Linked DNA regions of Drosophila melanogaster. The protein of the gene in region 1 purifies or fractionates together with the protein of each later gene. This does not show direct contact. Each region holds a gene or a part of one and is shown on either strand. Other genes may lie near its edges.

The links.
Region 2: the proteins of CG14696 (region 1) and Mec2 purify together in Drosophila melanogaster (affinity purification with mass spectrometry, with the first as the bait; one large-scale study listed by BioGRID). This does not show direct contact.
Region 3: the proteins of CG14696 (region 1) and Prp8 purify together in Drosophila melanogaster (affinity purification with mass spectrometry, with the first as the bait; one large-scale study listed by BioGRID). This does not show direct contact.
Region 4: the proteins of CG14696 (region 1) and ref(2)P purify together in Drosophila melanogaster (affinity purification with mass spectrometry, with the first as the bait; one large-scale study listed by BioGRID). This does not show direct contact.

The regions. Positions count from the first base shown.
Region 1 is NT_033777.3:10,880,737-10,888,591, reverse strand, and holds CG14696 (uncharacterized protein), read left to right. Parts: upstream 1-3,590; 5' UTR 3,591-3,757; coding exon 3,758-3,872; intron 3,873-4,677; coding exon 4,678-5,045; intron 5,046-5,104; coding exon 5,105-5,636; intron 5,637-5,699; coding exon 5,700-6,058; 3' UTR 6,059-6,159; downstream 6,160-7,855. Other genes in the region: Ak3 (adenylate kinase 3), read left to right, coding at 282-932; leash, read right to left, coding at 2,505-2,619; Tpc1 (thiamine pyrophosphate carrier protein 1), read left to right, coding at 7,588-7,855.
Region 2 is NC_004354.4:19,186,379-19,193,841, forward strand, and holds Mec2 (Mec2), read left to right. Parts: upstream 1-1,656; 5' UTR 1,657-1,736; coding exon 1,737-1,905; intron 1,906-2,655; coding exon 2,656-3,169; intron 3,170-3,261; coding exon 3,262-3,427; intron 3,428-3,506; coding exon 3,507-3,710; 3' UTR 3,711-3,815; downstream 3,816-7,463. Other genes in the region: CG33253 (uncharacterized protein), read left to right, coding at 1-65, 156-395; HP1D3csd (heterochromatin protein 1D3 chromoshadow domain), read left to right, coding at 3,898-4,437; CG7914 (uncharacterized protein), read right to left, coding at 6,123-7,070; CG14194 (uncharacterized protein), read left to right, coding at 7,454-7,463.
Region 3 is NT_033778.4:12,158,754-12,166,618, reverse strand, and holds the start of Prp8 (pre-mRNA processing factor 8), read left to right. Parts: upstream 1-3,620; 5' UTR 3,621-3,734; intron 3,735-3,907; 5' UTR 3,908-3,925; coding exon 3,926-4,539; intron 4,540-4,595; coding exon 4,596-4,811; intron 4,812-4,871; coding exon 4,872-5,084; intron 5,085-5,146; coding exon 5,147-5,272; intron 5,273-5,315; exon of another isoform or gene 5,316-5,493; intron 5,494-5,552; coding exon 5,553-5,972; intron 5,973-6,030; coding exon 6,031-6,248; intron 6,249-6,305; coding exon 6,306-7,357; intron 7,358-7,419; coding exon 7,420-7,612; intron 7,613-7,648; exon of another isoform or gene 7,649-7,747; intron 7,748-7,835; coding exon 7,836-7,865. Other genes in the region: CG34232 (uncharacterized protein), read left to right, coding at 1,108-1,497; CG13177 (uncharacterized protein), read right to left, coding at 2,432-2,635, 2,698-2,757, 2,819-2,827.
Region 4 is NT_033779.5:19,538,784-19,547,164, reverse strand, and holds ref(2)P (refractory to sigma P), read right to left. Parts: upstream 4,698-8,381; 5' UTR 4,349-4,697; coding exon 4,177-4,348; intron 3,546-4,176; coding exon 2,064-3,545; intron 2,009-2,063; coding exon 1,863-2,008; 3' UTR 1,617-1,862; downstream 1-1,616. Other genes in the region: CG10337 (uncharacterized protein), read left to right, coding at 354-518, 740-962, 1,029-1,360; CG13081 (uncharacterized protein), read right to left, coding at 5,822-5,876, 5,939-6,116, 6,172-6,472; CG13082 (uncharacterized protein), read right to left, coding at 7,536-8,381.

The DNA.
Region 1 (7,855 bases):
CTTTAGCGAAAACTATGACCTTCATCACCTCTGTATCAAACAATTGTGGCGTGCTTGATAGTCTTATCGCCCATAAAAGTAGTCGAGTATGGTCAACTGAAATAATTTTGGTTTTACTGCCAAGATTATATGTTATTGACCCTAAATCAAAATATAAAAACAGATCCTATATTAAATAGATAAACCGAATTTTTTTATCATATCATATTAAATTTAACCATGTATCAATTCAATTTTTTGTCTTGCAGCTCAAGGAGAGGTTGAAGAACTAGAGCTTAGACATGTTTACGAAAATCTTTCGCGCTGTGATAATCGGAGCCCCCGGCTCGGGCAAAGGAACTATTTCGGAATTGATCTGCAAGAACCATGGATGTGTGCACATCTCCACGGGGGACATTCTGCGCCAGAACATCATAAAAAACACAGAACTTGGAAAAAAGGCCAAGCAGTACATTGCTGAAGGTAAACTGGTGCCCGACGCGATTGTGACCAAGACGATGCTGGCCCGGATAACCGAGGTAGGCAACAGGTCGTACATCCTAGACGGATTCCCGCGCAATATAGCCCAGGCCGAGGCACTGGCTGCACGCGAGCAAATCGATGCCGTGATCACGCTGGACGTTCCACATAGTGTGATTATCGACCGGGTCAAGAATCGCTGGATCCATGCGCCCTCCGGCAGGGTGTACAATATTGGCTTCAAGAATCCCAAAGTGCCTGGCAAAGATGATGTGACGGGGGAGCCGCTGATGCAACGCGAAGATGATAAACCCCATGTGGTGGCCAAGCGACTGGAGCTCTACGATGAGGTGATGAGCCCGGTAATAGCCTGGTACGAAAAGAAGGGTCTGGTTGCCACTTTCAAGGGAAAACAGACAAAGGAGATCTGGCCGATGATGGAGCTTTTCCTCAACGACCGCATAAATGCGTAATGGAGCAACCCCGAAATTACATCCAATGTGCACAAACTAACGATAAACTGCTGTGTTCAATTAAGTGCATAATATATTTAGATATATATAAATGAATACGTATGAAATATGTATGTTTGTGGGCCGGTTAAGAGGAACAGGCGTATAATTAATGTAATTGCGAAGCCTTACACAGTAGCAGCTGTCATGTATTCCTTCTTCCACAGATATCATTCCCCTCATGAGCATGTCTTGCAGCTCCCCCCTTTTTTGTATAAACATATTTTTGTACTCGTATTCTGTGCTCTGATAATAAATCGCGTTTTTTATATATATAAATATATATATATATGCGCTGATAACAGCCGACTTTGACTTTTGGGCAGTTAACGGACAGCCGTCGATCTATTTTTAGGCAATGTCCACAAACCCTTGGCCCCATGCGTGAAGCCAACACTTTTAGCTTCACCTCATGACACCCAAATGCCCTTCATTTTATCGCGTAGCGCATTAATTTCTAAAAAATATGGGATAGTGTGGCGCTCCCGTTTAGTCTCGCGCTCTCTTACTCACACATGCACGGACCAGCTGCTGTTCTCACGCACACCTGTATAGTGGCAAATCACAACAGAGAGGCGCTTGTACAGTCAAGGGCGCCCAATTATGTCAGATTTAAAATTCTTTAAGTCATTTATAAAAAATTCAATAAACCACTTATTGTTTTAAAGGTATACTTCATAATAAAATGGAGATAGCTGTTTGCCTTTTAAACACTATACTTCGGAATATACCATTACTGGGAATCTTATTTCTGGATAATTAAAAAAAAAAACCTATATAAACCCCTTTGTGGCCACCACTGTGCTGCGAGCGCCCTCTCACCTCTCTCTCATTTAGACCCGACTTGCGCTTGGCCCAATATTACGGCTTTTTCGGCACGCCAACTGAGTGTGCCTCTCTTCGCACATGCCCCCACCGTCTACACTCCCCTCTCGCGCGATGCGTTTGGGTTGGCATTTCCTGAAACAAATGCCAGTACTCAAGAATCGTGAAGAACGAAAAGAAATTCAATTGCAATTGCAACGGGCGGCAATTGAAAGCTTATCGATGAATGAAAGGCGAGCGCCGAAGGCAATTAGAGGAATTTGCGAGCAAGAATCTCGAAATTGCGGTGAAGCGGAGGGGGAGGAAGCCCCATAAAATGGCCGCTGTGCTTTGTTAACTGATGGAGTTCTTTGTTTATGCGAATGGGGCCGCAACGAAAGTCCAGCTGACCATCGGGCGGACAATGGATTGCAAACCGCTGACAAAACAGAAAAAAGCACATTTCTATTTGTGGAGTACATGATGGGTTGTGCAGAAAACCATCTTTGTTAATATTAGATTACTATATCTAAGCTAAATCTTTTCGGTAATACGATCTATATGTACACATGTAAACAATACCCAGAATCATAAACTAAGAGCCTAACGTTAAATGTAGGGTTTTGAAACACTTTCTCTGCGTGTCTACAGCTGAGTCATGGATGATGCAAGCCGAGCTTTGAGATGTGCATTCCAGGAAGCGGCAAGTTATGCTCGACTGGCACTTACCGCGTATTTTGGTGCGCTTGTTGACGTTCATCCAGATCTCGCCGCGAATTATGTCGCCCGCAAAGTAAACCCGATCCGCGCTGTCCAGCGTGATTCGCAGCCGCTCGCTTTCCATTCCGCTGGCGTTGATGGTGATGACTCCTCCGGTTTGGCCACTTTCCTCACGCACTTATCCAAAAATAATTTCGTCATCAAAATGCCGCCACATACAAACGTACATGGATGCACTGCAGCACCACGGCCCGCACCACCCTAAAGTATATGCAGAATAGTAGCACCACCACACGCACTCGCCTCACGATTTACGATTTGATGTTACTACACACACCGCGCGGTGAGTGGGAGCTTTTTCGCGCTGATTGTGGCCAGTTCTTGGGGAATCTCGATATCCATCAATTCGCAATGGCCCACAAGTGTTGGTCGCACACCCCGGGCTAATTTAATTCGATTGCTGTCGTCCGCTGGCGGGTTGAATAATTAAATTTCTTATAAATTTACGAGATCCGTGAGTTACGCTTTTTTGTTGTAGCTGCAGCTCTCTTTCGATAACCGTGAGAGCGGCGGTCCGATAGCACGAACAGCTGTTGCGCGGTGCTGCCACCGGGCGCCTGGCCAGCTGAAGCGGTTAATTCGCAGACTTTTTAATCGGTATTTTCAAATGTGTCTAATTTAAAGTTTAAGTTCTAAACAGCGTTTCTTAAATGCACTGTTTTCAGTTGTAATGCAAGAGTTCAGAAATGCTTGGTAGTAATGGTCTTTTTTTATGGTTTGATGTTTGAAAAGAGAAGAAGAAACTCTCTGTTTGAATATCGCCAATAATTTAAGTTGATATATTTCACTACGAATAATAATTACCAAATATTTTACTGTATAGATAACAAAACGCTCAGCTTAGATGTCAGCGATGATTGAAGCATACATACATATTTTATTAAGATTAAACTTTAGTTGGCTTAGCAGCATAATGCTCCATATAGTATTTCGTGTGCTTCCCCGTTCTGTCCTTCGCTTCTTCTTCTTGTAACCTCTCGCGCACAAAAGTTTGCTTCTCGGTTCTTCGGTCTCACCAAAGACTTTTGAGAATTCAGTATTAAGCCAGAGCTGCTCGCGTTCGGAGCTTGCGAGCTGAGTCGCCGGAACCCTCGAATACATCGAATCCCTACCTCTTCCACCAACTATCAATAAAACAAACAAAGGAACTTGATAGCGCGATACCACCCGACACCGTCGCCAAGGAGCCAATTCTGGACAGGATGAGCAGCAAGGTGAACTTCGTCTTCGACAGCAATCCTTTGGGGCTCTATCAAGCCGGTCAGCTTATCTCCGGCACGGCGGAACTGATTACGGAGCGCCCCAAGACGATTCGATGTAAGTGACACCGACATGCGGAAGAAGACGCACTACATACATATGTATTCTAATGGACTCGAAACCATGACGTCATCCCCCTCCATCACCATTCAAATTCTGAATCCCATACCGTTTTACCATCCACTAATAAATAAATATCCACTTAATATTGTTGGTGCTTTGTTATCCGCTGGTTTAATGTTATTGTTGCCGGTAGATATGCTTGAAAGATGTGTATTGTATATACAAATGTACATATATGTATGTATACATAAAGTTTATATACAACACACATGTGGCCGCTTGGCTGGCTGGCGGATATCTGATAGCGGCGTAAAAACTAGTTTTGTTTTGAAATTGCGTACGCTGTTTGTATTATTAGATATTTGATTCAGTTACTGGTCAGCCCGTTCGTGCCAATACCTTTAAATTGTAGTGTATAGGTAGCATTTTGGGTCAATTAGGCGTAATTCATGCAGATATACATATATATATAAATTTATACAAATCCCATTAGCAAGCTAAGTGGACCCTAGCCATCGGTTCAAATTCAAATAATCAAATATTTCCTAGGGTATCAAATAGTCGAGCCTTAGCAGCGCTTTAATTTGATGGTGAACTTTATTAGGTAGCATTCGTTTTTTTTATGCTTCTGATTAAATTATTGTTAGTTCATTAACAAAGACAGTTGTTTGTAGCTGAGCAATTTTCCAATACAATTCTACATCCGAAACACACAAAAGGTCCAAGGTCAATGGCAATTAAACTAAATGCATAATTGAATTACATACCCGGCAGTACAGACAAATTAATCCAATTGCAGCGATCTTTATAACCATAAATGGATACGGCGAGACGCGTTGGCAGGAAAGCGAGGAGCGAGTGGGAGAGGATGGGAAGACGACCAAGTCCCTGGTGACCCACACCACCACCGAGGTCTACTACAGCACTGACCAGCCGGTTTACGGCCAGGCCGGTGGCTCGCAGCTGGAGTTGCCCACCGGCAAGTACGTCTTTCCCTTCCGGGCTACCATTCCGCCCAATGCACCCACCTCATTCAATGGTGCTCATGGTCAGATTAAGCACGAGGTTACCCTAACCATCGATCGCGCGGTTCGCTACAACAACACATTTAAGCAGTGCTTCACGGTGATCCTGCCACATGATCTTAATAGGCGGCTCGAGTATAAGGTATGTAGTCTTGGTTGTTCTTCCAAACTGAATAACCTTATGAAGCGCACTTCCCTTAGGAACCCCTCCAACGCTTGGAGTCGAAGAGCTTCTGGTGGGGCTCCATTTTCGGTGCCCACAAGCCGATGATCATGGACGTGAGCACCTCTTATTCTGCCTACGTCCCCGGCCAGAAGATTCATTTCCATCTGGTGTTGGACAACCAGTCGGATGTCCAATGTATGGACGTGAAGGTGCGTCTGATCAAGAACGTCTCATATAGAGCCAACTCATCGGGCGCAAAGGAGCAGTTGAAGGTAACCGAATCTCGGGTGGCGGACAAGCACTGCGGTGAGGTGCTGAAGCACAACAAGGCCAAGTTCGATGAGTTCCTCACGGTGCCGCCAACTACTCCATCCACGCAAAGCGAAAAGGATCCCATTCGAGTTAGCTACACATTGCGATTCATCGCCAAGACCTTCAAGCTGCACGGTGGTGGCGACTTGGTCATGGACTTTCCAATAACCATTGGCACAGTGCCGCTGCTGGGAAGTGCTGATGACAAGGGGCCCGGGGCGGAGAAGTCCCAGCCCAGTGGTGCCTCTCATCCAGGTGGGTTTTGCACTAAAGAAAGCATAATCGAAAGTGTTATTAATCGACGTTTCTCCGGCTTAGGCTCACCCAACTTTCAGGAGGACGTCAGCGATGAGCAATTCGAGTCCAACACCTTTAAGCCAAGATATCCCGTCTATCCATTTGATGGGAAGCCTGGAACCAATGGCTCAAACGGGGCAGCTAATTTTCCCAGTCTTTATCCCAAGGCAGAGGAGGCGCATCCTGCTACGCCTGTGAAATTCACACCAAATCCTGTGTCGCCAGCCGCACAAAAATCGCCACCATATACGACCAACACACCTGTTGCTTCTCCGCCAGGCGGTAATTTTGAGGTGCTTGGATTCAGTATACCACCAGACTATAAACCCACGCCTAGTGCTCCAGCCGCCTCTTCCACTGGCGGCATTGGGTGGAAATAGGGACCATAACTTAACCATTTTGTATTCTACACCTTAAGGCATTTTTAAATATACAAGAAAGCCCGCATAAGTGGCAACGCTGTGCATGTGACAGCTATATTAATATCGATAGTTAGTATCATTTTAATCCTAAATGGCCTTTTATTAACTCGAGTATAAACATAGTGATCTGGTTTCAGGAATTATGCTTACTATTAAAAAATATTTATGTTCCCAATTAAGAAAACCCTAAAACTGAATTTTAGCTTCTAGCTATTTTCTTACTATTGTTGTCAACCACGATAGCCGATAGTTGCCATCGCTGTTCGCTAAAAGCTCATCGCCAGCGGCTCGAACAGCTGATTCCGTGCACTTGGCGACGTAATTTAGTTTGTTTTGTTGTTGTTGCGTAGAGGTTTGAAGCAGCGCGTCTTGAATTCGGAAAACCAGTTTGTGGAAGTGGGAAGCGGCCAACTTGGACAGCGGCAGCAGGGGATTGACACAACTGCAACGGCATCTCAACGGCGGCGCTATTACAAGTCTGGCGAAAAGAAAGTTTTGACGCAATCCACGGGCCGCCGCCTGTAATGAAGAAGCGTCGGCGCCGCAGTCACTGCTGCACTCTGCCCGCGAACGGACGCATCTGCTCCAGGTGAGCTCAGATTGTAGTGCGCTGCTCTGGACATTCAGCAACATCATCATCATCACCATCGAGCGTGTTGCCAATGCCTTTGTCTCTTTATCTGAGCAGCAGCATCGGAATTTTGGGAACTGGACAACGGTCGCCGAGACATCGAACAACAAAAGCGGAAAAAAGTGAAATCGCTGATAAACCCGAATACCAACCGAGCTATTGTCAATCAATGAACGGCCGTTTGAACCTGGAGTCAACTTGGGAGCTCTGCGAATTGGCGGGCAATTGGCCATAACCGACCGAGATAATAGTGAAGTAATCGCAGAGACATACGCACGCTCCGTGGAGCATGATACTTGTAAGTCTCATCCTCAGATGAATTCCACTCCTACTATTTCCCAATTCCTGTCTACGCACTTGTACACAACAATTTGTCCATCGACTTTGATGAATGTGTGTAAACAAGTCGAAGTTTGCGCCCTGCCGCACCTCTAAAACGTTTTGAATGAAAGCTACAGGCAAGCTTTGCTAAGTCGGATTTTCGAAAACTCCATCTTTGATACCAGTAAAACCTAGCATATTTCATTTTTATCAAGAAACAATCTTAAGCTTTCTTTTTAACAGCATCTACCTTGAATTTCACAAGAGTCAAGTAAATTACAAGTAACCTTCAAAACAAATTCTTTATGATAATATATAAGCTATACCTATTAGATCCAGCCTCATAGAAGTTGCTAAGTCCGAGTTAATAGTTGCATCTACATAGTTCCGACTGTAATAACGTCTCCACCTGTCTGCGTTTCTTTATTTTCAGAAATGCCATTGAAAAGTTGGCAGTCGCAGCAATAAAAGTGAAATCCGCACGAGCAAACATACGCACACGAAAAGCAAAACCAAAGGTAGCTCCGACGCAGACATGGCGGTAACCACAGGCTCCACCAGTGAGGCGACCACAACCACAACTCCCGTTCCGCGACGCAAGCACAGTACGCGGGAGCAGCTGCATCAAATGCTGGCCGGTGGACTTTCGGCGGCCATTACGCGCTCCACCTGCCAGCCGCTGGACGTGCTAAAGATCCGCTTCCAGCTGCAGGTGGAGCCGCTGGGCAAGAACGCCGCCAAGGAGGGACCAGGAGCCCTTACCTCCAAATACACATCCATCGGACAGGCGGTGAAAACCATAT
Region 2 (7,463 bases), on another chromosome or scaffold:
TGAAGTCGTCGAGGGCTCTGCGCGAGGCTTCCGAGATCATCTCGGCCAGTCCATCCGCCCTGCAGGTGAGTCATCTTCTTCCATCTGAATCCAACCATCGGACATTTGGAACTGGCCCAAATGGTTTCATTCGTTCCATCTTCTTCTCTACTTAGTTGCGATACTTGCAAACACTGAGCAGCATTTCAACCGAGAAGAATTCGACCATCATCTTCCCGCTGCCCATGGAGCTGCTCACGCCCTTCCTGAATACCCAAGCACACTCGCAGCAGCTGCAACTGCAACACCAGCAGCAGCTGCAACAGCAACAGCAGCAGCATCAGCACCAACAACAACAACATCCTGCGGCTCCTGGCACGCCACTCCATCGACACCCGCACCAACACCACCAGTGACGCTCGATGTCGGTGCTGCAACCATATCTGGAGGCACTGCATCGCTGCGAGCTGCAGCGTCAGCAGAAGCAACAGCGAAGCGGAGCGGCTGCAGCGGGAGCGGCGGATGACGATGACGACATCGTGGGTTTCTTGCTCTAGTGGAACGGCGGCAGCAGCGACAGAAAGCGGAACTGTCCGGAAAATCCGGAAAATGAGTCACCAATGAATTCGAATGAAAGTGCCATGGAATTCCCTAGATTCTGGAGAGATTCAAACATGGTTCGGACTTAAAAATAAATTTTTTTTTTTTAGAATTTATTCTAATATGTCGAATTTAGTATGCAATAGTAACTGAGGCTTTTCCAAGGCTTTTCCTTCTTCATTCACAGTCGTTTTAAGTAGAGACGTTATATTTAAAATAACCAATATTATTTGTTTGTATCTTAAGAATTAATAACAATAGCTAACTACAAACCAGGGTAAAAGCTAACCATTTAAATAAACCAAATGATTCAGAAAACACATTTTTTTTTTCAGTTCTTCCCCCTTTTTCGAAACAACAAAATTTACATTTATATATGATATATATATATGTATGTACATATTTGCTCTTCGCTTATCTAAATAACTCAGATTTGCATGCCACTTCAGCGAGTGTGGCAGATAAGCTCTTCAGTGCTAATGTGACCGCCAGATCAGAATTGAGTCACCATCGGGTGGCTCCAGCCAATGACCCGTGACCCCAAAGCAGAACTGCGTCTCAATGCTCCAGCTGAGATAACCGATTGATTAAAGTGCTAAACGCACTTGGGCCAGATAGAGCTTACTCGGCTTTCATTGATCGTCGGTCGGAATAATCTGAAAGTGTACGCCTCCAGTTGGCAATTCTTTCGGCGCAGTGCAGTGAATCATCCGTGGTGACCCATGGCTCTCGACTTACAGAGCGGCTCTTGGTGTTTCCCCGGTCGTAGATACACTACACTGAACGAAAATTTACGAGCCGATGCATTTACATTCCATTCCATTACATTCTCTTATATGGCATGTGCTCAATTGCTGTGGAGGATGTACGGACTAGAGATCGCCTCTTTCAGTGGCGGCACACTTGGTTCGTGGTGTTTCAGTGCAGTGCTTCTTTTCTCTCACTGTTGAATCGCATTTAAGCCGCTCGGCAGCTCAGCGTAGCGATAATGCCAATGCGATACTTCGTATCTGAGAGAACCAGTGCGCTCTTATCACGTGAGAACGCTTTTGGGCATTCAGTTTGGCTTTTGCGGCGCTGACCGCTGGCGACAGTTTCGAATCCATAGCCGATCGGAGAGCAACGAACGTAGGCCAGAACGGAGCAGAGAAACAGCAATGGAGCCGCACCAGGATTCGCCCGTGTACGCCAACTACGAAGATATGCGCAACTCTGGGCCGGCCAGCTCCACGGCGTACATGGTCAACATGGGCGCCGCCGGCATGGCACCCGAGCCGGCACTTCGAGTGCCCGGCACCACGCAGCAGTATCGTGGATTCAAAACTTGTAAGCGGGCGGAAACGGTGTATACTATAGATGCAGCAAGATGATGACCCATCCCGGCCAATATTAGGAGAATTATTATTGTTAAAAAAAAACAAGTCTTTGCTTACTGTCAAGCGCTAATCACTTTAGATCGATTGAGATACGATTTCTTGGAATCGCTGGTTCAGATAAGATTGCAACAGCATTTTGATCGCGTGAAAAGTTTGTTTTTGGCTCAAAGCATTCTACAATATTTCAGACATGCAAAACCGCTTGATTCGGTTAATAGTATTCACTAGATAGGAGTTCTAAAAATACAAACTATCTCTCGCTTTATCAAAGTAGTACTAGTAGCAATTTGATTTCCATCGTAATCCCACATAATCGTCAATTGCTACAACATTCTAATTGTATTGGCGCATATATATTACACCTGTCTATATTTTTAATCGTAGGAATTTTTATTGGACTCCAAGATAAGCGGGCTGATTGGTGTTTATCCGTGTTTTCTTTTTTTTGATTGTGATGGCTATTGCTTTTCACAGCTTTCTCTTTTTCAAGTTGTTACATAGTCCATCATAGTCCTGTTTTACTTAATAATAAGTTGGTCTCTTCGGAATCCGGACAAAGAAGGTACTTCATCTTGGCCATCGAATTGAAGTGGACTTATCTACGTTTCTCTTGCGGCACAATTATTGTACACATATGCCTGAAATATGGCCATTTTGTAGATGAATATTTCATATTCATATTCCTAACATCCCATTGCAGCGGAGAACGAGCCCAAGGGCTGCATGGAATGGGTGGTCACCCTGTTCTCCGTGCTGATCTTCATCATCACATCGCCCATCGCCATCTTCATATGCTTCAAGGTGGTGGCGGAGTACGAGCGGGCGATCATCTTCCGGCTGGGCAGACTGAGCGGCGGAGCTCGTGGTCCCGGCATGTTCTTCATCCTGCCGTGCATCGATGAGTACCGCAAGGTGGACCTGCGCACGGTTACCTTCAATGTGCCGCAGCAGGAGATGCTGACGAAGGATTCCGTGACGGTCACTGTGGACGCCGTTGTCTACTATCGCATCAGTGATCCCCTTTATGCGGTCATCCAGGTCGAGGACTACAGCATGTCCACTCGCCTCCTGGCGGCCACCACGCTCCGAAATATCGTCGGCACTCGCAACCTGTCCGAACTGCTAACCGAGCGCGAAACCCTGGCCCACAATATGCAGGCCACGTTGGACGAGGCCACCGAGCCGTGGGGCGTCATGGTGGAGCGCGTTGAGATGTAAGTAGCCATTTAGTAGGCATTTGACATCCATCAGATCAGATCAGTATTTCTTAACATCTGTACGTTGTATGCACTTCACCCGCTGACAGCAAGGATGTCTCCCTGCCCGTTTCCATGCAGCGTGCCATGGCCGCCGAAGCGGAGGCAGCTCGTGATGCTCGTGCCAAGGTGATCGCCGCCGAGGGTGAGAAGAAGTCCGCCACAGCGCTCAAGGAGGCATCCGATGTCATTTCCGCCAGTCCATCGGCCTTGCAGGTGGGTGTTGTCCTAGTAAAAGCTGAAATCAATCGTTGAGCACGGATTACCAGCCATTCGAATTTTTCTGTCATCACAGCTGCGCTACTTGCAAACCCTGAGCAGCATCTCCGCCGAGAAGAACTCCACCATTATCTTTCCTCTGCCCATGGAGCTGCTTACTCCGTATCTGGCCAAATATGCCCACTTGATGGGCCCGCCACCGGAACTTAAGCAATCGCCAGAAAAGTCAGATAACATAGTTTTAGACGCACTGGACGCTTGGCCGAAAACCAACCTATGATTTGAATCTAGGGCGTTGCCAGAGTTTGAAAATATTAATGTCTTATTCATTTTTTTTTTTTTTTTAATAAATGCAATTCGCACTAGCTGGCAGCTTCAGCAATCGGAAACTTGCCGCCATTTTTCATTTAACGATTGCACGTGAATTCATTTGGTTTACTTTTGCAAGAGAACTTTATTGCTAAACGATGGCGGACAAAGAAAACAGCCCCAACAACAAGAACACAGGTGGTTTCCCCGCGGAGGAGGAAAAGCAGAAGGAGAACGATCAGCAGAAGGAGAACGATCAGCAGAAGGAGAACGATCAGCAGGAGGAAGTGCAGGAAGAGCCGACAAAGGATGAATCCAAGGAGGCCGGTTCGACGCCGCCTCCAAAGCACATGGGAGTTCACAATTCGGCTCGGGCAGAGCTGGCTCGGCTGCTCGTCGAGTTGTTGGTACAACAGGCAGAACTGGATGCAACCAACGGTGGCAGCGTGTCAGGGAATCTCGATGGCGGCAATTCCAATGAGTCCCAACCGTTGAACGTGCCGCCTACGGATGCGCTCCTGGTCCGCGGCAAAGCAATTGAGAATGTTATGTACAGCTATATGCTTGGTGACACGGTCTACTTCATTGTCACCTGGAAGGGATCCAAGTGGGGGGAAGCCGTGCCTGTTCAGGAGATCAAACATGTGCACCCCAAGCTACTCATTGACTACATTAAGAGCCTGAAGCTACAGGACTGAAAAAACCTCCGAAGCCCGAGGATTTATAATATAACTGGAGCAGATCTCCAAATTGACTTTATCCATTATCATTATCCATCCATGAAGAAAATGTTAAAAGATCTTGAATCAACTCACAGTATTTAAGTTAAATTACTTTATTTTTTTTTTCGTTTTTGTCTTGTAACAATAAGTTTGCTTCAAAATAAAATTATCCTTTTTATTGTTTGTAAGTAATTCAAATTATTTTGTAAAGAATGTTTCGAAATAACGAATTGTTAAGGCACAAACACATTTGTTTCTCAAAATCAAGGTACAGGGTATGTTCAAATTGGTGTTCAGATTATTCCAATCTGAACACCAATTGGGTTGATTCCTAAAATATCATCCACTTGGTATGACTTGAATTAGATTGGATCACTAATAGTCAAATGGAATCATAACCATGTTGTGGACACAGGAGGTCAAATAAAAAGATGACCATAGAGAATGTTTAATGGCAATTGGATTCATAATGTTTCCTTTCGATTCATCCAGTGAATAACCAGACGCTCAATTGTATTAATTACAGCGAAAACCAGTCGGCTTTTTTAAAGACAATTAAATCCCGATCGATACATTTGGTATGAGAATTGCAACTGCAATGCTCAGATTTTAACAAAGTAAATGATTTGCCGACAGCGAAATGGATTGAAGAGCCACCTGGATGGCCAAAACCATATGTTCATTTAGCAGCGATAAGTATAGATGCCCTATAACCAATTAAAAGTAGCAAGTGTGGGCAAAACAGTAGAAGTAGTTGGAGTTACCTGTATTACTGATGATGAAGAAGTGAACTCCTCCTCCTTTATGGAAGTACACATTCCATTTTCGGTACACTCAAATGCTTAATTGGAAGTATAGAAAACATGTAAAAGTTTCAAATGCCAACTAGAGAGAATGCTATAGTCAAGTTCCCCGACTATCAGATACCCTTTACTCAGCTAGTGTGAATGCGAACGCGAAATTTCTGAATTTTTCTGGTATATCGATAGATATTGGGGAATAAAAATTGTTCAAAAGTGTGGGCGTGGCAGTTATGGCCGCTTTAGGGCGTTAGACTGGGTGTGGCAAAAAAAAAATTGTAAATCGATAGAAATTTACACGACTAATAAAATTATTAAAAAATATCCAAAAAAAATTTCAAAAATGTGGGCGCGGCAGGTTTGGGCGGTTTTAGGGCGTTAGAGTGGGCGTGCCAAAGTTTTTTTTAAATCGATAGAAACTTACACGACTTATAAAATAATTTAAAAATATTTCAAAAATGTGGGCGTGGCAGTTTTGGGCGTTCGAGTGGACGTAGCAAAACGTTGTTTGCAAGTCGATAGAAATTAATGAAGACTAATCAAAATGTGAAAAAATATCAACACATTTATTAAAAGTGTGGTCGTGGCAGTTTTGTGCGGTTTGTGGGCGTTAGAGTGGGCGTGATAGCCTTCTAGCATTTATAGTACCTAAGATCTCGACGTTCATACGGACAGACGGACATGGCCAGAACAACTCGGCTATTGATCCAGATCTAGAATATATGTATATCTTCTGTCTGTTACATACTTTTCAACGAATCTAGGGTATAAAAAATATAAAACCCTCGGTATAACCAGTACGATCACAAATTCATTAACAATATTCAAATATTTATAAGCAACTACAGTTTTTCCCGGCATTTACAACATATAAATGTTTGCCGGATCTACGTCCAATGATTGTGTTGCTATTTGGGCGATGTTCTTTTGAAAACTTGAATCTCCAGCCACGATGAGGACACGCTGTCCGGGAATCGCGGGATTGAGGTGGGTGGCCAGTTCGGTGGCATCTAATCGGGACACCTTTGCCGTCTCCTTGTAGCGTAGATTGTCCCGGAGCTGAGGGCACTGCTGGGCACAGTGGCCCGCCTCCTGGCAAGCGGAGGAGTCACACTGCTGATGCGGCAGGTAGAGGCAGCTCCTGTAGTTCCAGAACTGGGCGAACTCGAGCATCTCCTCGCGGAAGTAGACATGCAGCAGGTCGTGAGCGCACACCAAATGCCACAGGCGACTCATATCCTCCTCGTTGTCCAGCACCTGCCGAACCAGCGGCAGAGTGGGTGCAATAGCAACTCCCTGGGCGATAATATAGATGCACTTGGCCGGCTGCGGTTCGTGTACGTATTGCCCGATGGGACCACGGAATTCCAGCAGATCGTCGGGCTGTACGGCTTGCAGGTGCCGAGACATTGGCCCCTCCGGCTGCAGCTTCACCAGGATACGGAACTCTTTGGCCACAAAGTCGCTCCAATAGGGCGAATACGGACGCAGCAGGGAGCCGACGCGCAGCATCACATGGTGGCCGGGCGGGATGTCAAGCACCGTGTCCACCGCTCCATCGCCGTCCCCCTCCTCTGCTGCATGAGCAAAGTGCAGGAGCAGCAACTGTCCATTGGGTCCCAGCGCTTCCCGCCGCAACAGGCGGAACTTCGTGTAGCTCAGGATCACGTTGCGTTTGCCAGCCAGCAGGACGCGTTTGCTTGGCCGTGGCTTGTTGTCGAGGATGCAGTTGGTGCAGCCATTGCCGCAGCAGTCTGAATCCCGCAGCTGGTCCTCGTTTTCCTTCAAATCTTCCAAATAAGATAACATTTTCCTGTGCCTATCGAGGCTATCGATAGCAGGCTAGCGTAGCCGGAAATCTGGCGAATTGTAGCCAGACATCTGGCTAGTCCTTAGTCAAGCCAATCGCCAGAGCAGGCAAGAGTTATCGATATCGAATCTCGGGACAGAAATGCCAGTCAAAAAAGTGTGTAAATAAAACAAAGAACAGAATATCTACAGGGAAAGGGGTGAAAGATCGGCGCCAGGCGTAGAGTACTAACTGCCCCCGCCCCCCCACTCCATCATAACACACAGCCTTGTTCGGGCGAAGATCGCTTCGTGGAGCGGACGCGGTGCGGCGGGTGCCCACGAGCAACTAGTGTCCAGGTACCAAGTGTCCAGTGACATAGCTCTATGGTGTCCTCAGCAACATGAATCTGG
Region 3 (7,865 bases), on another chromosome or scaffold:
TGTATCATTTTCTTGATTCCAATAATAAAACATATGACTTAACAAAATTATTGAATTGTCGGCCGGATTATTAAATTATTTCGTTTACGACGCTCGCGTTTAGTGCGCATTATTATTGTTTATTGAAAGTATCTCGAGTGGAACTTGGTCGAGACTTATGATTAAATTTATACACCCAATTGCCTCACCTTCCTTTCGCAGATAAGAGAGATTTTATATGTATTTCGTCTACTGTTTAAAAAGTGACCCAATACGATTGTTAGAGATAAGTCTGCACAGTTTGTCACTTGAAGATAAGTAGTTATTGGAAAAACGGGGGCTCCTAAATTAATAAAAAAAAGCGTGAGATTTGACATCATCGCCAATATCAATTGGATTTCAGCAGTCATTCATTGAAATGAAGAGCCAGTTTAAAAATCAAAGTGTCATGATCACATTAAGCTTTAAATGTAATTATTGCACTTTTGGCTTCAATGATTCAAAAGCATAGCTACATTTCTAAAGAATATTAACCAATCCATATATAGTAACTTACAGAGAGTTATGCTTTGTATCTGTATCTATGATTTGATGAGCCTGATAGATAGTATCTCAAGTTGACTACTCTTTCCGATTAAATTGTAAAGTTTTGGGTAATATTTTTGAAAAGAACTGTGAGGTTTGAGTACTTTCCCAGCTAATCTTGGCCCGAAAATCATTCAACAGCTGTTCACTCCACTGTGCGTCTGTCTGTCTGCCCATTAAATGAACGATAAAACATGCCGAATATATTTACATATATACCCCATCTATGTGATATGGTGGCCAGGGGCTGTGGGCTGTGGGCACTCGCATGAGGAGATAACGATATAAACGGCGGCGGAAGAGTCTCCGAAAAACAGTCGAGACTGGAGCGTCGCCGGGTTTACACGATCCGAGAGCTTTGCATCGCAGAAACAGAAGAAGAAGAAGGCATTGAAGTCCATATCCTATACCGAAGCTATCATGTTGAAGGCGGTGAGTGTGTGGTTCCAAGGGGCGGACCTAATCTAATCGCCGGTTCAGATATGAAAGTGGCTTCAATTTAATTTACTATCAATACCCATCGATTCACCTTGATTACTCCGGATGTTTGGCCCGCTGCAGATTATCGTTTTTGCCACTATCTTGGTGGCCGTGGCCATGGCCATGCAGCCACTGGAGGACAATGAGCGAACCCATCATCTGAACCACAAGCGCCAGTTGTCGCAACAGCACCACCACCACCACCAAAAGCTCCAGGAGGTGAGGCATTCGGGCCATGATAGTCTGAAACATGGTGGTTCCCACGTTAAGGAGCATCAAGCGCATCACTCTGAGCGAAAGGCCAGGCAGAGCCACAAGGAGCCGGGCCACAAGAAGAGTCACCACCAGAAGGAGCACCGCCAGCAGCAGGACAACCACACCCGCAAATCCCGATCGCATTCCAAGGGCAGCAAGCAGCATCACAAGCGGCACACGGGATCGCGTCGCCACTAGGATAATCCTGTATCCTGTGGCCAGGATATATTCTATTTAAACTCTAGCCAATGGATTCCTTATGCGAGGATTAAACTCCGAATACAGTAAACACTCGTATAATTGCATGTATGGCAACAGTAAAGCCAATCTATTTAAATGTTTACAAAACTACTGTGAAATATAAGCCATGACCAAATAAACACACATTTCATAAATGATATTAATATCCACAAGCAGCTTCAACTTTTAATAATTTGGAACACTTGATGTAGGAAATGCATTTAACTTGGATTTTAAGTTGAAAAACAGGTAGTATTTCAGAGAATTATGAGTTTTAAATAGTTTATGGCCGCAATAACTAACTTCTATAGTATGGTTTTCTTTTGAAATTTTACAAAGAGTTATATACTATATAAACTTCTGGCTGATATCCATTGTATAGACCAGCTTTCTTGTGACCCCGTTTATGGCCTGAAATTTGGCCATGTGGATCGTTAAAGATAGGTCCAACTAAAGGTTCAGATGTGTGTAATTACTCGACTTGGCCAACTCGGAATTTTGCTGGCCGGCTTATGTATGTTACGTTAGCCGCCTCAATTTCTTTGGAAGTTCAAAAAACAAAAAAGAAATCCGGTTTTGGACAATTGAAATTTGAAAATAATAAACCACACATGCGAGCGTAGTCGTACGTAAAGTGTTTTTTGTTTTTGTTTTGTTTTTATTGCAATAAAGCCGGTGTTAATTGTGCTCTGGGGTCAAAAACTGCCGCTGACGTCATCAACTCGTCGTTGCAAGACAGTGAAAGGGTTAAAATTTCAAAACTGGGGGGCTTGCTTGTATAACTTCTTTGGTCACTAGTGCGATTACATAGGATTTTGTGGATTAAGGAACGTATGTCCATATGTCTGAAACTTCTTGCTTAAGGAACGTTTTTCGGTCTGGCATCATAGTATTATCCCCAAACTGGGTAAATTCGGGGACGATAGAATCCGCCTCCGTAGGAGCGATATCCGCCGTAGCCGCCGTAACCGGAATATCCGCCGTACTTGTAGCCACCTCCATAGCCGCCGTAGTAAATTGGCGATGGAGCTGCATAGTAGCCGTAGCCAATGGAGTCCGCGGTGGAGAGATCAGCCTCCTCAGCGGGTTTCTTGTCCTGCCAAGCGAATGGATTTTGTTGGTTGGTTTTGAAATGGAAAAACTAAAGATATGACCTACCTCTATAGGAGCTGCGCTGATGAATCCGATAATAGCCAGGCACAAAAGGATGGAAAATAACTGAAAATGTTCACAACATTTACTCATTATGATAGAAACACTTTTTGTTTGTGTGTAATACCTTTGCCATTGTTGCTTTTATTTGCGAAATTTAACGGGGATGCACTCTAGATTTTATGTTTTTCTCTCAAATTAGCAACTTTTCCCGATCGTGTTCTGGCCAGAAGCGTTGTTGTCCGTAAACTGTGATCCCCAGCGACCTGCCGACAATATTTATAGTGGCCCAAAACGTCCCGGGGATCGATTTTGCACATGATCATTGATTGGACAAACATTCGGGAGTCTGGGGATGTCGTTACCCGATGCGAAATGAGGTGTTTCATTATCACAGATGACTCGATGGGATCTTCCAATTCGGTTATTTGAATTTCTAAGCTACAGTGAGCATTAGTTAATGGCCAAAGAAAAAGTTATTTAGTGTTTTATTTATTCGGTTTGTTGTTAGCTAAAGTCGACTGTGTGTTCTTATTTTTACCAGTCATCAACAATAATATTGACGCACTACACTAATTAAGTTCCTAATTATTAATATTAACACATTTGTTGACGAGCTGATTCATTGATTTAATTACAAGGATTTAGCCTTAATTAAAAATGCTAATGTCTCGATATTTTTTACTACTACAATACAAAGTAATTTAAGTGAATAAGGCTAATTAGTTTTAGTCGTCGCAGTTTTGGTGAATTTGTAATATATTCCCCAATAACACCGTTATTTAAATTTTCAAATTTGCTCGCACTTTGTGTGGTTATCTTGACTGCTTTTTACCACTAGACTGTTTAGCAATTCACCTAATCTCTCGATAGACGATAGATGTCTTATCGATTGAGTGATGTGACCGTTCTACTATTCTATAAATGGCTGCCGCATGAAAAAGTAAACCTCTCGTTTTGCGAACCGGAAAAATTGTGAATTGCGGCCAAAGAAAGGCAGAAAAAGTGCCAAATAGGCAGTACAGTTGCAAATTAACTGCCAGGTAAGATATTCAAACCAAGATTAGCTGGGGGAAAAGCGAAATTTACGCTTTTTCACAGCGTGGTGAAAATTGCAAAAGACCGCGACGTCGGCGGCGGCATTTCGATTTCTCCCCCTGAAACAAAACGTGTCTGTGTGTCGTAAAGTGTATGTTTTTCGTCGTTTATTGATTAGGATAAGTGCCGCGGAACGATGTCCATTCCGCCGTACATGATACCACAAAATGCGTGGGCAGCCCAGCTGATGGCCCAGCAGGCCTACGCGGCTGCCCATGCTCAGCAGGCTCAACTGCACGCCCAGCAGCAGATGGCCAACCAAATTCAGCAGATTCCGCCACCGGGGGCTCCGCTGCCGCCGGCCGGTGGCCATACCAACGGTATACCCATCCCGGTGGGAGGTCAGGGACCCGGATTGGGCCAGATTCCCACGCCCAAGCCGGACATACTCACCGAGGAGAAGCTGCAGGAGAAGGCGCTTAAATGGCAGCATCTGCAGTCCAAGCGATTCGCTGAGAAGCGCAAGTTTGGCTTCGTGGATACCCAGAAGGAGGATATGCCGCCGGAGCACATCAGGAAGATCATTCGCGATCACGGAGATATGACGTCGCGCAAGTATCGTCATGACAAGCGAGTATATCTCGGCGCCCTGAAGTACATGCCACATGCTGTGCTCAAGCTGCTAGAGAACATGCCAATGCCATGGGAGCAGATCCGGGATGTCCAGGTGCTGTACCACATCACTGGAGCCATTACCTTTGTCAATGAGATTCCCTGGGTTATTGAGCCCGTCTACATAGCACAATGGGGGTAAGTTGACTTTAACTTGTCCTCGTGGACACAACTGACGTTAAACACTTCCGCAGTACAATGTGGATCATGATGCGGCGTGAGAAACGCGATCGTCGCCACTTTAAGCGCATGAGATTCCCGCCATTTGACGATGAAGAGCCGCCTCTAGACTATGCCGACAACGTGCTGGACGTGGAGCCCTTGGAGGCCATTCAAATTGAGCTGGACAATGACGAAGACAATGCTGTATACAAATGGTTTTATGACCATCGTCCTCTAGTGGATACACAGTGAGTTTTGATTTGTCATTTATATCTGATCTTGTTTTGATTCATTTATTACCATCTAAGGTTTGTGAACGGCACTACCTACCGAAAGTGGAATCTTTCCCTGCCTCAGCTAGCCACGCTGTATCGATTGGCCAATCAATTGCTCACCGATCTAGTCGACAATAACTTCTTTTATTTGTTTGACCCAAAAAGTTTCTTCACCGCCAAGGCTCTTAATATGGCCATTCCAGGAGGACCTAAGTTTGAACCCCTCATTAAGGACCACAATGTTGGGTAAGACAATGCATACCCTAAATACTTGTTAAAATGTAATTCCTGCTTTTATTTAATTTTAGGGACGAGGATTGGAACGAGTTCAATGACATTAACAAAGTCATTATCCGGCAGCCAATTCGCACGGAATACCGCATTGCCTTTCCTTACTTGTACAACAATATGCCACACTTTGTGCATTTGAGCTGGTAAGAGTCCACATTCTTCAAAAATTACCATTCTAAAATCTTATTTACGTGGTTAGAAACGTTTCCAAGTGATCAGCCTCTCTGGAAATGCTTCATGCCGCGTTAGAAAAACGACGAGCTCCCAGGTTACTGCCAAATTTGCGATAAAACGGGAGCTGCAATGAATATGTTCGTGGCGATTGTTAAGAATTAATCGTGACTGCTGATAGTTGCATACATATAAACTCATTTGTAGCTTAGAGGATCCACATGACCACATGATGTACTTTGTCTATTTCAGGTATCACACTCCCAACGTGGTCTACATCAAGACCGAAGATCCCGATCTGCCTGCATTTTACTTTGATCCGCTCATCAATCCCATATCCCATCGCAATGCAAACTCGAAGATTCAGGAGCCCCTACCTGATGACGACGAGGACTTTACTCTTCCGGACGACGTGCAGCCGTTCCTGCAGGACACTCCCCTGTACACTGACAACACTGCAAACGGAATCGCCTTGCTGTGGGCACCCCGCCCCTTTAACATGCGCTCTGGTCGCTCCCGTCGTGCCATCGATGTGCCGCTGGTCAAGTGCTGGTACAAGGAGCATTGTCCACCTGGCCATCCGGTTAAGGTGCGCGTTAGCTACCAGAAACTGCTCAAATACTATGTGCTCAATGCCCTAAAACACCGCAAACCAAAGCCACAAAAGAAACGGTGAGTTTTATTTAAATCAAACTATAGAAACGTTTTGAATTGTATCCTTACTTTGCAGCTACCTCTTCCGTTCGTTTAAGGCCACAAAATTCTTCCAGACCACAACTCTGGATTGGGTTGAGGCTGGACTGCAAGTTTGTCGTCAGGGATATAACATGTTGAATCTATTGATTCACCGAAAAAATCTTAACTACTTGCATTTAGATTACAATTTCAACTTGAAGCCCGTTAAAACTCTGACCACCAAGGAGCGTAAGAAGTCGCGATTCGGAAATGGTAAGCAGTTAAATTTCTAAAAATTTCCCTTTTATCAATTCCTTTCATTCCTATTAGCTTTCCATTTGTGCCGTGAGATCCTGCGTCTGACCAAGCTAATCATTGACTCTCATGTTCAGTATCGGCTAAACAATGTGGACGCCTTTCAGTTGGCTGACGGACTGCAGTACATATTCGCCCATGTTGGCCAGCTGACTGGCATGTATCGCTATAAATACAAGCTGATGAGGCAGATTCGAATGTGTAAGGATCTGAAACATTTGATATACTATCGCTTCAACACGGGGCCCGTGGGCAAGGGACCCGGATGTGGCTTTTGGGCACCTGGATGGCGAGTCTGGCTGTTCTTTATGCGCGGCATCACTCCGCTACTGGAACGCTGGCTGGGCAATCTATTGTCGCGTCAGTTCGAGGGTCGTCACTCCAAGGGTGTGGCCAAGACGGTGACTAAGCAGCGTGTTGAGTCCCACTTTGATCTGGAGTTGCGTGCCTCCGTGATGCACGATATTGTGGACATGATGCCCGAGGGCATCAAGCAGAACAAAGCTCGTACCATTTTGCAGCATTTATCGGAGGCATGGCGTTGCTGGAAAGCGAACATTCCGTGGAAGGTGCCTGGTCTACCCATTCCCATTGAGAATATGATCCTGCGTTACGTGAAAATGAAAGCCGACTGGTGGACAAACACGGCTCACTATAATCGGGAACGTATACGACGTGGAGCAACCGTCGATAAGACGGTGTGCAAGAAGAATCTGGGGCGACTAACGCGACTCTATCTGAAGGCGGAGCAGGAGAGGCAGCACAACTACTTAAAGGACGGTCCGTACATATCACCGGAGGAGGCTGTGGCTATTTACACAACCACGGTCCATTGGCTGGAATCACGTCGCTTTGCGCCCATTCCCTTCCCACCACTTTCATACAAACACGATACCAAGCTGCTAATATTGGCCCTTGAGAGGCTAAAAGAGGCGTATAGCGTTAAGTCCAGGCTGAATCAAAGTCAGCGTGAGGAGCTGGGCCTCATCGAACAGGCCTACGATAATCCTCACGAGGCGTTGTCCCGCATCAAGCGTCATCTGCTCACGCAGCGAGCCTTCAAGGAGGTTAGTTATCACTATTTCTATCTGTATTTGAAATAACTTTAAGACTTGTATTACTATCTTAGGTGGGCATTGAGTTCATGGACTTGTACAGCCATCTGATTCCAGTCTACGAAGTGGAACCCCTGGAAAAGATTACAGACGCATATTTGGATCAGTATCTGTGGTATGAGGCTGACAAGCGTCGATTGTTCCCGCCATGGATCAAGCCCAGCGACACGGAGCCGCCACCATTGTTGGCCTACAAGTGGTGTCAAGGTATAAAGTTGGAACTGGTTTCAAAAGAACATAGTTGACGGCGGTACCGGGCATTTTGGGTGTGTGATTTGTAGCAAAGTGATATGTATTTGATCATCCCCTTGTTGCAAACCTCACGCCAAAGATGATCTGCGAAATACACAGTGGTATGGAAAAAAAAGGAATATAGAACCCCTTTGATACTATCTCTGGCTTAGCTTATTCGTATTTTTCTCCTCAACAGGCATTAACAATCTGCAGGATGTTTGGGATG
Region 4 (8,381 bases), on another chromosome or scaffold:
CCAGCTGGAGAGCAATGCCAATCGCTGCCACCTGTGGCCGCTGCCGCCTTTCCCGCCCCAAGGTGAAAAACACGTGAACGGGTCGATCCGCTGAGTCACTTTTTGCAAACGCCGCGCTCCACTGGCTTTGAAAGTTTGATTTTTCGGATAACGCTGGCGGAGCTTTCGATGGCTTTTTCCAGCTGTTCCATGCCGTCAGACTCTCAAAAGCGTTCTAACAACCGCCACGAGCAGTCGCGATCTTCGGTTTCGGTTTATGGTGCCCAAATACTTGGATTCGTCTTATCGGTTCTACGTGCGCATCTCACGTAGCAGATAAGTGATTTTCGCACAGCTAAGACATCCTCAGCATAATGACAACTGCCGAATTGCAAGGTTCCTATGGAGGCCTCTACTTTGGCTTCTGCACACTGATCTCGCATGTGCTTCTGGCGGGGATCACCGTAGCCATTGTTTACAAGTGTCTGGTGCTCAAATTGGTGCACACCGCCGGACATGCCTTCTACTGCACAATCGGCGTAAGTATTTTGATTTCGGATATTAAAAGATTTAGAAACATATGTGAAAAAGTGAAAGTTTGAGGCCACGGTTAACAAATAATCTAATGGTTTCAAGGATATATATTTCTCGAGTGAGAGTTTTCTGTACCCGGAAGACCTAAATATAAACTGGTTTACTATCTCCTGAAATTTTTACCCGTCCTAAATCATTGTTCCATCTATCTTCTATTTCATTATAGTTTGTGTTTTTCATGGGCGAAGCATTGCTGGTCCGGAATAGCGCATATTTGGAGTCCTCGTTGGGTCCATTGAACCTCAACCGCCTGCACGCCGTCCTGGGGCTGTTGGCATTCCTGGTCGGAGCCGGCGGAATCGGAATCAAGACATGGCAGAAGCTGGAGCGCAAACGGGAAGACCCCAATGCCACCGTTCGTCACTTTAAGAGCAACCATGCTTTTTACGGTGTGTTCTCGTCGGTTCTTTTCCCAAATATAATGATAATTTATGCCTCCATCTTTCGCCCATCAGGTATAATCGGTTGTGCTCTTCTTCTGGGTAGCGTTCTGAGCGGTCTTCCGCTGTATTTCATCAACAGTGGCTTCGCCTTGAAAATGCTTCATCGATTTTTCGGATTGTCCGGATTCCTCGTTCTGATGGTATCTCAAATGTTCGGATATAACACGGGATTCGGTCGGCGACAGTGGAAGGCACACCACCAGAAGCTCTTCAAATTTTTCACATTTATTGCCACCATTACGACTGCAAATTACGAACTCCGGAGATTTGTGCGAGATGTTGCCGGCTTGGCGACAGACTATTTTATTGGATCAGATGCAGCAGAAGCTAGAGAAGATCTTTGAGGCTCTTTCGACAAGCGAGTAGTGTTCACACTGGAATATCAATACTACAGGAAACGAATCGAATTCCGAAACACAGTATTGTGGATTTGTGTATCACTCAAGAAATAATTCGAGTGCTTTGCGGATTTGAACTCTGAAAAACCAGAATCGATTTATACCATACGTATAAACACATTATCTAAGTGGAGGAGGCTTTTGTTGTCTGTCAATCGTACTCTACTAAACAAAACCATATCAGGTATAAAGCAGGCATTTTAAATCATTTTACTTTGTGCCTTTATTGCAATTTCACACATACATATATATACGATAACATTTTGTTGATTATTTAAAACATAACATATATCTATTTTCACATTTATTTTGGCTACGAGATAAATCTAGCACCACAGAAAAACTAAGCTACGTAGTAAACTGATACGATAAAGTAAAATCCCTTTTTCATTGGGTTCTATAGATATTGAAGATACATTGTAGATATATCGATATTGAATATGAATATTTAGTTGCGGTTCTGCGATACGTTCATTACGTCCAAGGCAGCTGAGATATTGCCCTGAACCGACTCTAGGAGCTGGGTTAGCCAGGCGCCCTCGTTGCTGAAACCCATGGCCATCATGGCATGGATCGATTTATTGATGCTTTCATCTAATTAGGAGACATAATTAATACAAAGCGATTAGTTATTTAATTCGGCACTTACCAGTGTGGTAGACGGGGACCGTGCGCTTGTCGTCGGGAGCTGCTGGGGAGGTGCCGACGCTATTGGTGGTCACCGATGTGGTCGAGGTCGATGTACTCACCGTATCAACTTGAGCAGTCTGGGTGTTGGCCGAAGCCTGCTCCACGCGAGCCTCCTCATTCATGTGCTGACGCAATAGTTCGCCCAGCTGACCAAAATCACGCACCGGCTCCTGAGGAGCAGCAGTGGGATTGGTTGTGTCCAGATTGATCAAGTTACTATTGTTTGCAGAGTATGCATTGTCAATAAGCTGCCACTCTGGATCCAAGCTGTCTGAACGGCGTCTTTCCTGCTCTGTTTCGGTGGTGGTTTCCGATGGCTTAGGATTCAGGGGCTCTGTCTCAAGCTGAGCATCAGGGATCGAACCAGAAATTGATGGAGTGGCCGACTGGTTAGCAGATGGGACATTAGACTGATTAGCCGATGGAGCGGCAGAGGGAACAGCTGACTGGTTGGCCGAGGATGCCCCCGACTGGCCACTGGATTGACCCTGCTCTTCTGGTTTCTTATTCTCAGCACTGGGAGTCGTTGAGGGCGCAAAAATTCCCGAATCACCGCCCTCAGTGGTATCGATAATCTTGGAAAACATTTCGCTGAAGTTATTAAGGATTTCGATGCCAGCACTCATGTACTCGGGTGGCACAATCTGCGAAATGTTATCCAGATTAATCACTGGAGTAGTTGGCTGAGTGGAACGTGGAGTCGTCACTGGATCTTCGGTTCTAGGGACACTTTGATCAGTGTTAACCTTCTTCGGCTCAGTTGGTTTGGCCTCGGATTCAGCTGCCTTTTCAGCGGTAACAGTGGGCTCAGCTTGTGGAGGACTTTCAGTTTGTTCTGCAGCCTTCGGTTTCTGCGGTTCGGCTGGTGCCGTGGCCGTTGTTGTGTTCAGCGGCAAGTTGGTCATCATCTCGACAAACTGAGTCAAGACTCCGGCATGGCGGCGGGCCTGACGCCGTTCACGGCGACTATCCCTTGCGGGTTCGCCAGCAGGATCTGCCTGGTTCGTCTCCTGAAACGGGCAATGTCCCCTGGAGCGCCGGCCACTGCGGCGTCCCAATCCTGGACCTGTGAACCAGGCATCGACCATACCGGGTCCATTGTTGGTCGGCATGCGTAGCATCAAGTGCTCAGGATGCTTGTGAGCCAACTCGCATTTCTGGCAAAGATCATAGTTGCTGCACTGAACGCACTTGTAGCGGAACCCAATCAAGGGAGCCAAGCCGCAGCCATCGCATTCAACGGCGTCGTGGATGGTGAAATTGCTCGGATCGTCGACAGAAGGAGCTTCAGCGTTGGCCGAAGAACCCTCTTGCTTGGTGGCCTTTGGCTCCTCTACGGGCGCCAGTGGAGCCACCTGAACGTGCATATTGCTCTCGCACTTGGCCAGGAAAATCTCATAGTCATTTTGGTTGACTATTTCGATTTCATCTTTATCAGCGTCTGCAAAAGTTAGAATAGGCAAAGGAAAATAAAATCAATTATGAATCAGTGAAGTTTTGTTATCAAAGGTGAATCACTGAGGGCTCTAGTTAGACAAATTAGCTACAGTTGTGGTTGTACCAGCACAACCCGTTTGATCTATGTAAATGTATATGAGTACATGTACACATACTTTACAAATTAAAAAGCGCGTTAGATGTATTTAAAATATATATGTATAATTCGAGAATTCAGAAATATGTAAAATCAAAAATGTTTTGTATGTGTGCCATTTATGAAACAGTGCATCTAATATGTTGACCACGTTTGTACCATAAAAATATATATGTACATATTTATCAGCTAATGTGTCAACACAATTTTGCCAATGATAAGCATTGAGCAGGAATACTATCTAGGTGAATCCCTGCTTTGTTGGGCAAAGTACGCAATAATTTGGGCTGGTTTTTAAGTAACGAGACTTAAAAGCTAAATGGTCAGCACTGCTCGGACGGATGCAGTTATGTATGGAAACGAATGTACTTATACCATGCACATATGTTGCAATCTTTGCGACTCGATTGCAATTGCGAATAACTGTTTGTATGTATAGCAAACATTCACTCTGCGGCATTTTCATTGTAAAACTCACCGATCCAGAAGGTCCTTACGTCGCATTTGGGTAACTGGCGCTCCTGGAAAAGATACAGCTCGATTTCGCGACGCAATATGGTGTAATTCTGGGAGGGCATCCGCAGGTATGCATTTATCTTTTTCTGGGGTCCAGCGCCCTGGTAGGTGATTTTCAACAGCTTCTCCGGCATTTTCGCAACGTATTCTGTAGTTTCGACAGACTTTTGAATATATGTATGTATATATATCGATGCTGACGCTTTTATTCTCGTTTAACTTGTTGCGGCGAATTTATGTGACGGATTCTATTAATTTGGAGCTCTCGACTACTGCGTAGTTTTTGTTCGGCCGTTCGATTGTGTATACAAGTGCAGCTGGGTGAGAGCAGGTATATATACTAGGCGAACTAGTTGCTGGAAGGTTCTTGAATGAGTGAGGCTCAAATTGTTGCAAATCACGGTGCTGCCTGCTGGGCTGCACTAGTTAATCTATCCCCAAAATTGTATTGTAATGCCAAAGCTGGTCTTTGGCAAAGATTAATAATACTTCGGTTATCGATAATGAAAATATTTTTACGCGGCTCTATCGAACTCACCACTTTTAGTATTTTTACATTCACATTTTGCTTTACATAAAATTTCGCCAGAATATCGATATTTTTACCCATTAAAACTTCACACATACATACGTCAGTTTCTTATCGATATCGAAATCAGCAAACCCGAAATATTGAAAACCTAATCTAAAGATGGTTTTGTTTTATGAAACTTGGCAATCTAGGTAATCTAAAATGATGCCTCTGCGTTCGTAATTTTCTTCGGAACTATAAAAATGGGAGGCAATAAAACGGTCAATCTGAACTGGGGTAATTGGAGGTTTTTCAAGATGTTTTGAATTCCGTCGTAATGCATTCCCTAGTAATATTGATAGGTATCAAACTGGAGAAGGTGAAGGGTGATATTTATATCTAAAACATATAAAGGATGGCGTCCTAATCATTCAATCCTTCAAAGGATTGAACTTCCAAATCGCGAGGTTCACGTGAACATTATTTCCGAATATACATATATATCTTGATATCACACGAAATTGCCTTCACGAATCTTTACTGAATGAGACTGGATTTATTCGCGGTCTTAAAAGCTTTGAAAACAATGTCCTCATGGAAATTAATCAATCGATGATGAAAATCAAAACAGAAAAAAAACAGAAATCAATTGTCCGGGATCTAAAGAAAATAGGAATGAAAAGCATATGATTTCGGAGTTCTCAAATCGGACGATCTGCAGATATCCACTATTGGATGCCGAGTCTTGCTTGCAAATTAGCTCCGCTTTCGAGGATTCATCTCCAGACTGAGCTTTCTATTGGATTCCCAGAAAATTTTAATTTTTTTTATAAAGATAGTTGACACACTAAGTTAAAATAAAAAAAAAAAAACATCGTATGTCATGCTTTTCAATATTTATATATTTTGAATGGAAAAGTGATGGATGTTTAAAATACCAAGTACTGTACAGTGATTTTGAACTTTTTAAATATTGTTCAGTGGAACAGCACCAATGGGATCAACGGAAATTTAAATTCGAAGAATGATTTTATTTGCTATGTATTTTCCAAGAACTTAGGACTAATTTCTTGTCATAGTATCTAAAGATATCATTTTAGGCCTTAGAACTTTTGAGCATCTTAAGCAATTGGAGCAGTTGAGTTGGAGATCTGAGCAAAAACCATCTTTTAATTAGTTTCTAAGCAGAATTACATATTAGTGCTGTACTAACCGGCTGGCAGTTTGAGAAGCTACAATTTGATGTTGTCTGCTTTCCAAATTAATCTGGGCTAGCTCAGGAATCTTAGTTACGCCCTCGGTGGAACCAGAGTCTGTGTCGGTCTCAGGATCCCTCTCGTACATCTGAGTTGAATCTGGATCCGGTGTAGATTGGCGCAACAACATTTCACCTGGCGTGGAATTAGTGTTATGTCGGCAATTCGATTCTATTACAGTAGTACTCACTCAAGTAGGACTCTGCCATGGAGTAGAGCAAGCTGGAGCTCATTTGAGGCGCCATTCCGATGACGACCCCATCCACTTTGAACTGATAGTTCTCCCCACCCTTTTGCCGTTGGTCGTATAGAATGTCCTCGCGCTGAAAACCATTCTCGGAATAGTCGTCGTATAAGACGTCCAGCAAGTCGCTGATCACGTTCCTCGAATTCCCTGGCCTAGTCTTGCCGCCAACGGGCTGGGCCAGAATTCTTCCAAGTGCCACAAGCAGCAGGGCGAACACAAACAGCCGGTTGGTGAACTTGCACATGATGTTGCCCAAGCGAAAAGACCGCAGGACCGATGTGCTCCAATGGCGTGCGTTGAATGATTCCAAGTTCTCGGCCGCTGTGAAGGCGAGCCCACCTGGACCACAACTGGAGACTGGAAGACCAAGAAAACCCGATTTATGGACACAGTTCAATGGCCGCCTCCAATCAGCCCAAAGACTTCCGCATTGCCAGGTTGCTGTGGGAATCTTTAGCTCCGCGCATTTCTAATGCTTCCCAGCAGCCACGTTCGAAGTCCGTTCCATTCGAGAGGAACTATCTGCCTTGTGTTCGATCTTCTCCGGCTCCTCATCTAACCCATTGTCGTTCGCAGATATCGCATTGAGTTTCAAGAAGAAACTTCTTTTTTTATTATTGTGATGAGTTATTTTCACTCATCTTGCGCCAATTTAAATTTGTTTAGTAACCCAATCTCTGTAAGCATGATTCCAAAAAAAGTTAACCCAATAACCTCAATTTGCCGCAAAAAGAAGTCCAAAATCTTTATGGCAGTGCTAATTGCCCCGCCTGCAATAGACACAGCTAGATCTCTTTCAGTTATCTAGTCTGGGTGCAGTTCTGGGCGCGGGTTCAATGACTTGGCCACAGGAAGGGGCTGGCAGCCACCTGCAAACTGGTTTCGCACATAAATCTCGCGTACATCGCAAACTATGGAGCACCTGGCCTTTGGCTCTGGACAGTAATTGCCGTTTTATGGCCCCAGGAAGGCTATCCAGACTCCAGCCTCATCCTTCAGCGCATCATTAAAGCCGAACTCGAACCGTTAGATCCAGTGCCCACTTCCGCCGTTGGAGCATCTACATAGAAGGTGATTTGCAATCTGAAGCTAACTATTAACAAAAAGTTATTAGCCATGTAATGGTGCTTAATGTTAGTCGCAAATAAATCATCTCCCATATTTGCTCCTACTAACGAGCAGTTTAATCTCAATGTCGATTATGTTTTCGTATTTATTAATAAGACAATTTCGTCGGCTTAATTCTAGAGTGTGCAATGTATGAAACTAACATTTAAGCTGGCAGTCTGGCGTTCTCACTCCTCCGCTTAATAGCCCTCGATCTGGCGACATTCGCCGTAGCTATCACGACGTTCTCCGCGAGCGCAGCGCGCCAGTCCGTCCCGGAGGAGGGTTCGGGACTCGGCCAGGTCGTCGTCGGCCAACAGATCGAAGCTAACGATCTCCGGTTCCACCGCTTGTGCCCGAGTGGGTTCCTCGTCCAGTTGCCAGGAGCGCGATTGGTCCGAGAAGTAGGTGGGTGCGTCGATGGGGGGGTAAAGGCCATTGGCTCCTCTGCCAAGATCGCTGCGGTAAATGGGGGCACTAATGGAGCGCGGACTGGCATAATCGCCGCCGGTCAGGCGATTGGTATCCAGATAGCTATCGCCTCTCAAGGAGCGGGAGCTGCGGAAGTACTGCGATCCGGGATGATTGAAGCTCTCGAGGAGATTAGAACCGGCACTGCTGCTGGCGGAGACGGGGGGCAGAGCTTGAATCAACTCCGGTTCCGCCTCCAAGTGGAAGGGCTTAATTAGCTGCGGCATGGGTATCAGTTGCGGAGGCAGCACGTCCACCTGCTGGCGCTGCAGGCGTTGAGCCTGCTCCGGATCGCTGGCTGAGATGTCCACGTGATAGGGCGACCGACCCTCAATGAACTCCGGCAGATGCGCCGCTGGCGAGGATTGGCGCTGATTCTGTTGCTGCTGCAACTTCTGCAGCTGACTTTTCTGGTAGAAGGACTTCAGTGAGTTGCTCCTCGCGGGATGTTTGCGCTTGAGCGATCCACTGCCCTTGGTGTTTCCGCGACCCAGTAGCTCCAGCAGGCTGATGCCCTCCTGCGGTCCAGGTGGAATCAGGAGGATCATGAAGTTCTCCAGATCAGCACGAATGTT